Arabidopsis thaliana: one gene and its partner. The protein of the gene in region 2 interacts with the protein of the main gene of each other region in a pairwise test. Each region holds a gene or a part of one and is shown on either strand. Other genes may lie near its edges. The genes, in order: AT4G04320 and MTACP-1.

What was found.
Region 1: the proteins of MTACP-1 (region 2) and AT4G04320 interact in a two-hybrid assay, tested with the Arabidopsis thaliana proteins (one large-scale study listed by BioGRID).

The regions. Positions count from the first base shown.
Region 1 is NC_003075.7:2,110,612-2,118,617, forward strand, and holds AT4G04320 (malonyl-CoA decarboxylase family protein), read left to right. Parts: upstream 1-2,729; 5' UTR 2,730-2,953; coding exon 2,954-3,037; intron 3,038-3,270; coding exon 3,271-3,353; intron 3,354-3,424; coding exon 3,425-3,515; intron 3,516-3,610; coding exon 3,611-3,737; intron 3,738-3,823; coding exon 3,824-3,989; intron 3,990-4,109; coding exon 4,110-4,254; intron 4,255-4,337; coding exon 4,338-4,428; intron 4,429-4,509; coding exon 4,510-4,568; intron 4,569-4,645; coding exon 4,646-4,723; intron 4,724-4,851; coding exon 4,852-4,935; intron 4,936-5,026; coding exon 5,027-5,202; intron 5,203-5,288; coding exon 5,289-5,417; intron 5,418-5,501; coding exon 5,502-5,574; intron 5,575-5,656; coding exon 5,657-5,742; intron 5,743-5,829; coding exon 5,830-5,914; 3' UTR 5,915-6,082; downstream 6,083-8,006. Other genes in the region: RbcX1 (Chaperonin-like RbcX protein), read right to left, coding at 6,089-6,169, 6,255-6,317, 6,427-6,443, 7,392-7,509, 7,592-7,686, 7,802-7,952.
Region 2 is NC_003071.7:18,411,353-18,417,209, reverse strand, and holds MTACP-1 (mitochondrial acyl carrier protein 1), read right to left. Parts: upstream 3,010-5,857; 5' UTR 2,891-3,009; coding exon 2,699-2,890; intron 2,322-2,698; coding exon 2,145-2,321; 3' UTR 1,875-2,144; downstream 1-1,874. Other genes in the region: AT2G44630 (Galactose oxidase/kelch repeat superfamily protein), read left to right, coding at 263-1,381; RAB6A (Ras-related small GTP-binding family protein), read left to right, coding at 3,327-3,443, 3,989-4,059, 4,157-4,245, 4,419-4,530, 4,915-5,005, 5,286-5,432. UniProt on the Arabidopsis thaliana protein: Carrier of the growing fatty acid chain in fatty acid biosynthesis. May be involved in the synthesis of short and medium chain fatty acids.

The DNA of each region.
Region 1 (8,006 bases), on a different chromosome or scaffold from region 2:
AGTGGGGGTATATATATATATATAGGATTTGTGAATCATGGCTCGCAAATTTCGGAGATCGCCGCTGAGTAGTGGAGAAATCGAAGAAAGGAAAGTGAATTAGGGTTCTAAGTCTCAGAAATGCTTATATATGTTCGGGTTAGTTCGGATGGGGTTCGATTATCGGGTAATAACCGATTGGGTACGGGTAACCAAAGACATGAAATCTATAAACCGATCGGGTTATTAATAGAATCCATACCCGTACTGAACCCCTTAATTCGGGTCGGGTTCGGGTTCGGGGATCGGGTATGGGTAATGTGCCCAGTCCTATTCTCAATTATAGATGTGGAGAAACCTTATTGGAATTATCCTCATAATATATTTTTGGAGTCCCAGTCAAGAATGTCACTGAACCAGAAATTTGAATCCGGCATGCCACTTTTTGATCTGTATGCCACTTTATATGTGTTATTCCTATTTTACCCTTAATGAATAATTTTTTATTTAATTTCAAAAATAAAATAAAAATAAGAAAAACATAAATATTCTATATATAAACCCTACAAAAACGTTGGATTTAATTTAGTGACTGTATTTACTCAACATATGGACCCCACTAAAAAATATTTTATCTTTTTGCGGTAGAAGATACTCGTAGTTATACCGTTGTACCATCGTATTCATAGTTGAACTTTCCACAATTTTCATAATTTACAGTTGAATTAGAAGGTAAATAATTAATTATAAGTTGAACGCACACTTTTTCTCTATTATTTTGTATTTCCAAAGTTTTCATAATATGACATCGGTGAAAACTTGGTTTTTTACCTATTTTACTTCATATAAGGTGCTCATAGACTAAATGTTTCTTATATTAGAAGGGGTGTTTTATATGAAAACAAAATTGGATTTTAGAAAATATTAAATTTTATTGCATTGATCTAAAATTATTTATTTATAATTTGGGATATTCGTATATAATTTTACATGTATAATAAATTATCAATTTTACAAATTTAATCATTTTAACGTTATTTAGTTGAACTAGTTGAACTAATTATATTAAATGTTACCACGAAAACCAAAGAAAGACATTTGAACTAGCTCAACTAAATAAATTAAAAAGTACCACGAACACAAATACATATATGTTTTTAATCTAATCCAATAAGTTGAACTAGTTGAATTGTTCATACAAATCCGAGAAATACAAATTCAAAATACATGAATTAATTTTTTCATGTGCAACAAATTGTTCAAGTGTATCCCAGGCATAGTCTTGTTCTTCCTCTTACGACGCTTTTCTCTGGTTGATGGAAACCAGTTTTTTTTTTTTTTTAACCATTTTTTGGTGTATAAATTCAATTGGCTCTGTCGACTCGGGAAAAACCATCTCTGGTCGGCTCATCCATTTCGGCAGCCGTCGATTCTCAGGTGATGTGTCTTCCTCCATCGATATTGTTGGATCGAAATCTAGATCGATATCTCGATATTTACTTTGTCCACTCTGGAAACGTTCCTCCTTTAGAGATACCATCTCCGGTCGACTCATATATTTCATCGGTCGCTTTTTCTTCCGTCGCAACGTCTTCTTTTCTTTACAAGCGCTTTGTTTGTTCTACTCTGTCTATAGATCTCGATTGAAGAAAGTGAATGAACGAAACAAAAATGGCTGTTTAGATATTTGCAATGGTAGTCAGTACAATGTAGTAACTGAATCGCGTTGCTCCCCAAACCAATCCATTGTTGCATAATAAAATGGTATAACTGAAATTGGTTCAATTGATCTAGTTCAAATGGTTCAACTGATCTAGTTCAAATAGTTCAACTGATCTAGTTCATCTGGTTCAATCGAACGAGTTCAACTTATATAGTTCAAATTGTTCAATTGAATAAGTTCCAATCGATTTTTCGGGCGTATGATATGAGTAAATTTGGAAAATGCCTTTTTTATGAGTTTTTATTTGAAAAATACTATATCCTACTTTATATATAAAATTAATAAAATAACCTCATTATAATTTAATATAATTAAAACTTTAAACAGAAAAAATCCATAAGTTAATATTTGATTTAACTATAATTTAAAAGATAATTCTTATCTTAAATATTTTAAACAAAATTTTGTCCAAAATAATATATATAAACTATATTTATTTCAAAACTATATTTATTTCAAACTATATGTATTAAGTGATAAACTTTAAAATAATATATATAAACTATATTTATTAAGTGATAAACTTTAAAATATATTTAGATATTAAATTGTTAAATTTTAATATAAATAGATAAATAAACTATATTTATTTCAAAAATAATTAAAAATGTTATCAACAACTAAAACATATTTCGAATAATACATACATTTCGAATTTATCAATAGAGATTTTTAAAAAAAAATCTATTACTTATATTTCAAAATTTATTTAATTTTAATTTTTTTCTTCTAAATATGAATCCTGTTTTTATTTATTAAGAATAATGCTTTTAAATTTGGATAAAACTGTTACTTTACATATTAAAAATATAGTATTATTTGGGCCAAGTTAATTATTTTATTGTACTTGGGTCGGATTATTTTAGTTGGATCTGTATATTTTAATTTTTTAAAAAGTTATTTGGATATTTACATCAGTTTTAATTATAAAAAAAAATAAAATTATAAAGAATAAGTGGCATTCGTGATTATTATTTTGGAGAAAGTGACATTCCTGCCATTTATTCAAATTTTTGTGGCAAGTGAAGCGACAGGTAAAGTAAAACCGACGCCGTTTTAAAAGCCAGTGCCTTTACGCTATCCGTTGAAAAGGGAATACAAAGTCTCGATTTTTTTTTCCGATACTTGAACGGCCAGATTTTAAGGTTCCTGTCATGTCTGATTGCGAAATCGCTTTTTTCTTCTTCCTGAGTTCCTTTTTTTCTCCGATGAAATTTTAACCGTGATGATGATGATCATAATGAAACAGATATGAGCAAGAAAAATCTAGCGATTCTGTTGCGTGCTAGAATGAGATCCAACAATCCCTCCAAATTTTCCCTCTCTCAATTTCCTGTAAGCTTTTCTTTTTCTCTGTTTGAATTTTTTGGATAATTTTGCGATTCTGTCCAAATTCACACAATTTGTAATCATGGGCAATGAAAAGTTTACATCTTTTGATGAAAAAGAGAGAGAGAGAGTGAGAAATTGGCTATGGCTTTAATCGGAGCTTGAATGTTTTTAAGAAGATAAGAATATAATAAGGCTAATTTGACTCTATAATAATGGTTTGTTGACTTTGTTGTCAGAAGGAAATTCAATCTAATCCTCAAGAGAATCATTCTAGAGATCACATTGTGCAAAATTCTAATGATTTTGGTACCACTGGAAGGTAATTTCTCATTGTAGATATTGATTTAGCACCATTGATCTTTGCAGTAGTGAGTTTGGTTTTTGTTTTAGGGTTTATGATGTTGTTCGAGAGACAATGCACTCAGCTATCTCAGCTAGTAAAACTGGTGTATTAGACATTACTCTTAATGATTTTCAAGAGGTAAAACTATCTTCACATTGTTGTTTCTTGATTCTGATCTTTGATGTGTTTAACCTTTTCAATCTGATTACATATATGGTTAAAAATGCTTATAGGGTTACTTTAGCCTTTCGCTTGAAGACCGCGAGAAGTTACTGCTTGTTTTAGCCAAGGAGTATGATGTTAACCGAGAGCAAGTCCGAGAACTTGTTAAGCAATATCTTGGACTTGAAACTCCAGCTAGTGAGAGTCATTCTTGTGCCATTCTTGTTTTTTCTTGTGTGATTCTTCGTTACATTCTCCATTGATGGGCGAGTACTTTTCTTTAGGTGATGATGATAAGGGGGCTTTATCTTCTGTTTTCTATCGCATTGAGAGGAATCTGAGGCATGCTCTTAGGCCAACATATGAAGTTTTATTTGAGAGGTTGAATACACATCCTGGAGGGTTGAGATTTTTGTCCATCCTCCGAGCTGATCTTCTGTCGATACTCTCGTAATGTTTCTTGTCCTCTTGTTATGTGACTGGAAACTCAAATATTTGAAGATAGTTTCGAATCAGTTGGTAAAACATTTCCGGTTGTATCTGACACTGATGGTTGTTTCTAATGTATAGAAAAGAGAACACGCCGTCTTTGCGAACATTAGATTCTTTTCTGAAGGAGAAACTCGGTATGTGGCTTAGTCCTGCCACTTTAGAGCTTCATCAAATTACTTGGGATGATCCTGCTTCATTGCTTGAGAAAATTGTTGCATATGAGGTATGCAGTACTAGTCTCCATTATAGTAATCTCAGCTATTTCAGAATGTTAAAAGTTTTGTCTAATAACGCATTATTTATAAGGCGGTGCATCCAATCAGCAACCTCTTGGATCTTAAAAGAAGATTGGGAATAGGCCGTCGATGCTTTGGATATTTTCATCCATCTGTTCCTGGTTAGTTACTTTCTCTGGACTCATGTCTCTTTGATTGTAAGTTGACCACATTCTTTGATCATTCTATGTCGTTACTCTCAGGTGAGCCACTTATTTTTATAGAAGTTGCTCTTATGGAGACTGTTGCTCAGACAATTCAGGTCAAACTAATCTTGATACTATTCGGTATAGTTTAGATTCTATAGCTATGTGTCTAAAAAATTCATTGGCGTTGCAGGAAGTTTTGTGGGACAATCCTCCCATACCAGAGAACCAAGCAACATGCGCTTTATTTTACTCTATTTCTTCAACTCAGGTATGTGCACACTCTTCCTTCATATCTGTAGTTCTTACATTTGTTCTCGTTGATTTTCACATTTTCTATTCATTTCGTGGTTCTGATGAAAGCTATGGCTTTATGACTTCTGTCTTATGTATTTGCAGCCTGGCTTAGCTGGGATAAACCTCGGAAAATTTCTGATCAAACGAGTGATTACGTTGGTGAAAAAAGACATGCCACATGTTTCTGTGAGTACTTTGACTAATTTGTATGCAAATCTTGTTACAGGTCTAAAAGTTTGTATCTGCTTGCTCAACAAAACTGTTCTTTTTGTTGCAGACATTTGCAACACTTAGCCCCATTCCTGGATTCATGCAATGGCTCCTCTCGAAGTTATCATCTCAGTCAAGATTTGCTGAAGATGAGCGTGGTACACAGAGCAATTCGCCTTCATCTACGTTTAGTGAGAAAGTATTACTACCAGAAGAGGAACATGCCCTCATGACTCTATCAGAGTAAGATTTTCTTCATGCCCTTATGTTCTTATCTGTTATATAGAAAATCAAGTTCAAGTCATCAACTCAGTGATCTTTTTATGCAGTGAATCTTCATCCGGTAGCAACGGTATGGAAGTTCTGTTGAATTTGCTATCAGTAAAGAACTGCGATTGGGCTACTTCGCCTCGCCTATTACCAGTTTTAGAACCTATTCTTATGCGGTTATGTGCTAGGTATGTTCATTCTTGGAGGAGATGTAATGGTTATATATGAATCATATAGGCATAACTTTCAATGGTCTTTCTTGATTTTGATAGGTACCTCTTGCAAGAGAAGAAGAGAGGAAAAGCTTTAGACTCTGTTGCTAACTTCCACTTGCAAAATGGAGCGGTAAGTCCAGTGAATGACGATAGGTTTTAGTTAATAGAGTGATTGAGATTGATAAGCTTTCATGTTTTGATACGTTACATAGATGGTTGAAAGAATAAATTGGATGGCGGATCGATCAGAGAAAGGTATTCGTCAAAGTGGAGGCATTATGGTAAACTATGTCTATAGGTAAAGTAAACTTTGTACTTTAAATTATTCAGCTACGAAGCTTTCATTTTTGTTGGTCCTAAACCCATCTTATTCGATTCATGACAGGTTAGAGAATATCGAAGACTATGCTCAATCGTATTTTGGGTCGGGCAAAATCCATGCCTCTCCCGGTATCCATTCCCGTCTCTAGGTAACTCCGCAAAGAAAATCGGGTTTTGATCGATTTGCAGGTAAAAAAAACTAAGGTATCAAAACCTGGGAGTAACATAGCACAATGGTATGTATATGTATGTACAAACGGTTTCAAGTGTGTATACTCTCAAGACTCTATATATATGAATGTGATTCGAAGAGATATTCGGTTTCACTTATCAGAATCGGTTTCGACATGGCTAGTCTCCAAGACGTACTCGCGCATGAGTCTTGTGTTGGAATCATCTACGTTCTGCATTTTCAAAAACACAAGATGCTTCATTACGTACTTGCATTCATATATGTACAACGAGAGAGAGAGATAGATAGAAGTGAACCTTGAAGGCGAGGCGCTTCATATTATCCCATTCGAAATCGTTTTTACAATAAGCAGACCGTACCTAAGCGGTAACAAACGGTTTCAAACCGTAAATACAAACGTAGAGATGAGAAAAGATGTAGAAGTGTTTTCGAAAATGTATTAAAGGAGAAAAGAAAAGCTTAGCTTACCTCTAAAATTCGAAGGGCTTGTTGCATTGGCCATGATACCAAAAAAAAAAAGCAAAGTTTTTAGTTTACTTATCTCATATCAAGTATATGTATACCTAAAAGATATACGAAACTTATGGATCTACAAAGTGATTTCGTTAGTAATCCGCAAATTGGTGGAATTGTATTTCGTCACGCAATTTTTGAAGTAGTTTTTCTTTACAAGAATTGCACAGATTAGTTGTGTTATACTGTTAGTTTTGTGCCTGAGCAAATTACCCGAACCAGATGTACCAAACCAAAACCGAAGTAAACAGAACCGATAACCAGAAACTAATTGAATGGATACAAAATTTTATAATCGAAATAACTGAAACCGAATGGATACCAACCGAAATATTTTGAGTAACCAAAAATATCTAAAATATAAATATATATTTACAAAAGTATTAGTTATTTCTAGACTAGATAATTAAAAATACTTGAGAATATATATAAAATAGTAAAAATATTCAAAAATAATAAAAAAAATATCTCAAAATATCCGAAAATATCCAAAAATATCCGAAAATAACCGAAATATCCAAAAATATTTAAAGCAAAATAACCGGATGGATACTAAATTTTAAAACCGAAATAATCGAAACCGAACCGAACTTTCAAATTAACCGAAGGGATACTAAACTTTAAAACAAAAAAAAAAACGATAAGCGAATGGATATAACTGAAACCGAATATATAAACCGAACTCCCATAACTAGTTATTTTAGTGAGAAGTTTCAACTTCCAATGTACGAAAAGAATGTTTGGAAAAAGTAAAGAGATTTCGTCTAAATTACTAGAAGAAAACCAAATTTGTTAAAAAAGTATAATGTATAACTTTAAGAACCTAGAATTAAAATTCCAACTAACAAGTTTCACAAAAAGAAAACGCATACTAGAATTTTATAACCAAATTATTGATATAAAGGTGTTATTTTTGGTACCTAAGTTCATGTGACGTGAAGAGCGACGCATGAGAGTGGCGCAGAATTTATCACCGTCACTTACAGAGTTTGTATCTAAAAATTCTCTCAACTCCATATAAGCCTCAGGATTATAACTCTGTCATTAATTAATATATAGATCATACTTATTATTAATCAAAACACCTAAATTAAAAAATCAAATAAATCGTCAAATCAACCTCAAGCTGAGCAGACACTATCCTCACTGCAACGTAAGTAAAGAAGTCATGAAGATGCTTCGCTGCCTTAGCCTCCGGTGAAGCTTCTCCAAAGCCTAATTCAATTATATAACAAAAAAAACATTAGAAAAATAGGCATTAATCTATATAGAACAATTCTGTATGAATAAAAACCACATTTTGTGATGAATATGTCATATTGTTACATACCGGGAACATACATCTTGTTAGAACAAATGCGAGTTTGTTTGCATTTTCGCGAACTCTGCATTAATGGATAAGAAACCAAAGGTCTTTTTCCAAATTTTGGATTAAGGTAAGAGAGGTAAGAGTGATGAAGGAGTGAAGAAGATGACTCCATAGAAATATTGGATGAAGAAAAATTGCAGGAGAGGCATATTGTTTTACTATTTGG
Region 2 (5,857 bases):
TTTTCATGGGCCTTTTCTTCACCCTTTAATGGGCCTTGTTTTAAAATCGATTCCTTAGAAAGATTCACTCACCGGGCTTATTCCTGGGCCTTATTCTAAAACTCTGTGTGTTTCCCTGATCAAGACAAGAAATATAAACCGGTTTTAACCGATTAAAGCAGAATCAGAGAAGAATTTAACCGGCTTTTGGTTTTTGGCTAAAGCCCTCAATTTGATTGATTCACTCAGTTGTTCTCTAGTCTCCTCCTCCTAATAGCTCTCGATGTCTAACGCCGACGAACCACCGCAGAAAACCAACCAACCACCGTCGTCTTCATTGACGCCGCCGTCATTGTTCTCACTCCCGGTGGACATCGTATTGAACATCTTAGCCTTGGTACCAAAACGATATTACCCAATCCTCTGTTGCGTCTCCAAGTCCTTGCGGAGTCTAATTCGCTCGCCGGAGATTCACAAGACGCGATCTTTACACGGAAAGGACTCTCTTTATCTATGCTTCTCGACCAGAACTACATACCCGAACCGGAACCGGACGACTTTTCACTGGTTCACTCTCCGGAGGAATGATAACAAGATGAATACGACTGAGAATGTCTTCGTCTCCATCGATGTTCCTTATCGTCCCGGGCATGCTTCTTACCCTCTTTCCAATATCGCAATTGATACAGAGATTTACTGCATTCCCGGATATAATTTTCCCTCATCATCAATCGTATGGATCTTTGACACCCAATCTGGACAGTGGCGTCAAGGACCTAGTATGCAAGTGGAGCGATTATCAGCTACCGTAGGACTAGTCGGTGGTAAGATCTATGTGATCGGAGGCAACAGAGGCGAAGAGATCCTAGCGGAAGTATTTGACTTAAAGACACAAACTTGGGAAGCAGCGCCGATTCCTAAGGCAAAGGATAGAAACGAATGGTTCACGCATGCAAGTGTTTCACTTGATAGGAAGGTTTATGCTTTAAATTCGAGGGAATACATGAATTCTTACGATACTAGAGATGGTTCTTATCAAAGATATACGATACCTGAAGATAATTGGTGGAAGACAGGAAAATGCGTGATTGACAATGTGCTCTTCGTTTACTTCCTTAGATTTGGGTTAATGTGGTATGACTCTGAGCTGATGTTGTGGAGAGTGGTTTATGGTTTAGATCTTGACAAAGCTCGATGCATTGGGATCGGGGAATACTACGGAAAGTTGGCGTTTATATGGGGAAAACCAAGTAATGTTAGTGAAAGCAAAGAGATTTGGTGTAGAATGATTGGCTTGCTTAGGAGTGAAGTAGGAATTCATGGAACTGAAGAACCGTCTCAACTTCTCAGAATCGTTCCTAACAACTATAGTTTGCGCCATTGTCTGTCTCTTTCGGGTTAAACTTAATCAAGAGATATATTGTTGACGTTAGATGTTTATTTAGTCTTTCTTTAGTCATTATGATCAATATCACTACAATGTGTTTACAAGATTCATTGCTGTTGCGGTTTCAGCATCTTGCTTTGTTCCTTCCACCCTATCCATTTTGCATAATTAGCTTAGCAAGTTTTTAATATTGTAAGTTCACCCATTTTGTCCCATTTACTAAAAAATCGATTCAAACGAAACCTGAAATGTATCTCCTAATTAAAACATCTAACTTGTGGATAGAGATATTGGTGTATTTTGGTACAAATGCTGTAGTTGAGATGAAGCAGAAAACTTGTCCAAATGAAAACTACTGTCTGTATTCGATCCAAAAGATGGCTGACAAACAATTCTAGTTAATAGCACGTTATGATGTAATGTAGTATATAAGATCCAATTTCTTGGTCTTGCATATGTATCCAAGAGAGACGATCAGTTTTTTAAAACAAGTATGTTTTTCAAAGATTCGTCTTCAATGTATGATCAAGACCATGCTAAGAATCAAGTGTATTATATACAAATCGTATTAAAGTATTAACTCAAGAAAAAGTGTCAACTTTCACAAGATTCAAGCAAAAAGGTTTTCTTTTTAAGAAACTGGAACCGTTAAAAGAGTCAATAACAATGCTCTCCAAATAAAAGTGATTTTTTTGCAAATCCCATTATGGCATTATCAAAGAGAGAAGAACCTCATACAAGAAAAAGGAAGGAGAAACCATGAGAGAGCACACAGCGATTAGCTAGACATTGGATGATTGTAAACGTATTCAATGGCGAGAGAGCAAGAATCGATCTTGTCAGCTTCTTTGTCTGGAATTTCCAGCTTGAATTCCTCTTCAATAGCCATCACTATCTCCACTGTGTCCAAACTATCTAATCCCAAATCGTTTTGGAAATGAACCTCAGGAGTCACCTGTCGATATTTATCACAAAGCCATCAACAAAAATAACCCTAACCAAACAACCCTTATTAGAGAGAGTTGATGAAGGATTCATAAATGCAAAATCCATAAGAATGACCATATCAAATCAAATCCATAGGAACAACAACACGATAAGCTACACTTACTAAACCACATTGAGATCAATAACCTTCAATTTACTAACAACACTAATGCAACATCGTTTCAGATACATTTGGTCTCTATTTCCACTAGATCAATACGAAATCAACCAAAAGCTCCTACATTGACAAATATTCAAGGCAAAATAATCATTTTGTTCCCAATAATGAGGAAAACAAAAGATAAGAATCACGATTTGGCCAAATTTTATGAAGATCGAGCTGACCTTAGAGGGATCGACTTTGGGGAAGCTCTTGACAACATCGAGTACTCTATCGACGACAGCTTCTCTGCTAAGATGATCATCGTGCGAAGAAAATGACCGGATCGTACCAAGGAACCCAATTTTAGACTGATTCAATCCTAGGGTTTGCACCGGAACCCTCAGGTGACGAAGAATTGCATTTCTCAGTGCCATTTTCGTCTCTTTCTTCGAGCTCGAGAATTAGGGATTTGATTTGATGAGAGAGACACAGAAGAGTCAAGTAGCCAAAAGGGGCAAAAATAGTTCAGGTCATACGAGATGACACGTGCCCCCTACTATAAGGCTAGCCCAAATCCTTACGTGGGCTTATAAATGCTGCCCATAATGTAGTAAATTCCTTAATCAGCTTCTAAGTTTTTATATATTTTGTAACTTATCTCAAATAGTTTCTAATTTAACATAAATGACCCAATTGGGTCACTCGAGGAATAAACTGCAATTTACGAATAACAAACTCTCACTAATACAGTATTTGCAATTCCAGAGCGACGGGATCTCTCTCCGGTAAATATCGGAAACTTTTATTCTCAGCAAAGCGAGATCTCGACGTTTCTCAGATCCGTCCGGCGAGTTAGATCCTTGAGAAATCATGGCTCCGGTCTCGGCACTCGCTAAGTATAAGCTGGTGTTTCTGGGAGATCAATCCGTCGGCAAAACCAGTATCATTACTCGATTCATGTACGACAAATTCGACAACACTTACCAGGTAAATTTCCATTGTTCAAATCTAGGTATTATCTCGACGATGCACGACGTTTGCTTCTATTTTGAGGGATTATAGTCGGGAAAATCCCAGGGTTTGATTGATTTTGAGATCCGTTTTCATGGACGGGAATCGTGTTTTTCAGTTCGAAGTTCTTACTCGTTTACGTGATCGGGCGTTTGGTTTTGCGTAATTATGTGTGATCTGATTTGTAGATCGTGTTTTAGTCAATGTATAGGACGTAACAATCAGCTGAATGAGATTTTGGCATCGTAATCGCTCACTCTCGTTTATTGTACAAAGTCGAGAATTCAGTCCAATAGAAGATCGCAGTAACACTAATATGAGGATGTTTCTTTGATCATGTTATCATTGTTTATCTAATCGAATTAGTTCTCAATTGATGAATGAAAGCATCTGATCTTGTTCTGTGATTATGAGAATTACGTTTAAGCTCCTAATAATATGTGAACCATGCTTGCTTATCGTCATTTTACAGAATGTTCTTCCTTTTCTAAGTAGTTTTTATGTTGTTTCATAATCATCAGGCCACAATTGGTATTGATTTTCTATCAAAGACAATGTACCTTGAAGATCGAACGGTCAGACTTCAGTTGTGGTAAGATCTTGAGCCTCTTTCAATTTTCGAATACTGAAGAATAACATTGCAGATCATTTTTTGATGATTAACATCGAGAGCCGAAATCATATGACAGGGATACAGCTGGGCAAGAGCGATTCAGGAGTCTAATTCCGAGCTATATCAGGGATTCCTCCGTTGCTGTTATTGTGTATGATGTTGCAAGTATGTGTACCTTCACTCGTTCTCTCAAACACATGAATATTTTCCCATATCTGAGATCTTGGGGATGTGGTTTTCAGTAATCTTATGAATTTATGCGTTTCGATTTCTTCTTTATGTTGATCCATTGTGCGTTGTGAAACTCGAGATTTATTTTGTTTTCCACTGACATATAGGCAGGCAGTCCTTCCTAAACACTACTAAGTGGATCGATGAGGTTAGGACAGAACGTGGTAGTGATGTCATAGTCGTGCTTGTGGGAAACAAAACTGATCTAGTGGACAAAAGGTAATAATGATCTACCATCTCTTCCTCTACTTGTTTCTTGTTAAACCATGATGTGCAAATTACTGTTCAATAGCAATTGAGACTGAAATTTGGTAGTCCTCCTTGTTTAAACACGCTCTGATTTCGTAAGTATGTTGACAAGACGAATGGGTGTCTTTTTTGTTTTACTCAAGTACAAACTGTTGTTAAACCACGTCTTACTTTTCTGGTGGTATTGAGTATGTTGCCAAACGACCCTACAAGATAATAAATGGAAAATCATTTGCTGCTCAACTGCATATCTTTACAGGGTTTCTTTATAGTCAACACGCTTTGACACTTGATGGTGCCTACTACATTTGTTACTGCCAATTGGGCCTTTGTATTAAATATTTTGTTTCTCAGGCAAGTGTCAATAGAGGAAGCAGAAGCTAAGGCACGCGAACTTAATGTAATGTTCATCGAAACCAGTGCCAAAGCGGGCTTCAACATTAAGGTAACAAAGATCTTGGCTTGACACATTTCTGAGGGTTTCTTGCACAACAAAAACTTGCTGCTTAGTTCAACTAAGCCCTAACTTTGTTTAGTTCCATCAATATTCAATAGTTAATTAACCTAGACTTATAAATTTTTAACCCAACCTGCTGATTATTACATCCTCCTCATTTGTATGGATCTTTCACTGATACTCTCTAAACAATTACCGCAAATCCATAACGCTATCACTCCGTGCAAATCTTGTTTTCTTATGATTTCAAACCTTTTTGTATTGCTAGGCGCTCTTCCGCAAGATAGCAGCAGCTTTGCCGGGAATGGAGACATTGTCTTCAACAAAGCAAGAGGATATGGTTGATGTCAATCTCAAGTCTTCCAATGCAAATGCATCTCTCGCTCAGCAGCAATCAGGAGGATGCTCTTGTTAGATTTGGCAACAACAACACAACAACAAATCGATAGAGAACAACAAAACACACTACTAAAAAATGTCCTCAAGCCCCTTTGCATGATTCGATCAGTTATCGTCTTCCATCTGTAAAATTTTTGCCTGTTTTTCAACTTTTTTTCTTCATCGGATTGTTTTTAAAGAAGACTCTGTTTTAGCTATGGTTTGTCCCTAACTGTGATCTTTTGTGGTCTTTGGAGTTTCAAATGCTCGCTGCTTCAGTACTTTTGTTTACTTATTTCTCAAAACTGTGATTTGTCGGTCTATGAATTTAATTATGTATAACTGTGAGCTGCTAGGTAATAAAAACTCTCATTTCGTTTCGTCTTTCCATGTGATAGTCTGATAGAGAAAGAAGCACAGCATTTTTAATCTTTGACCCATAAAGAAACAGATAATTAATTT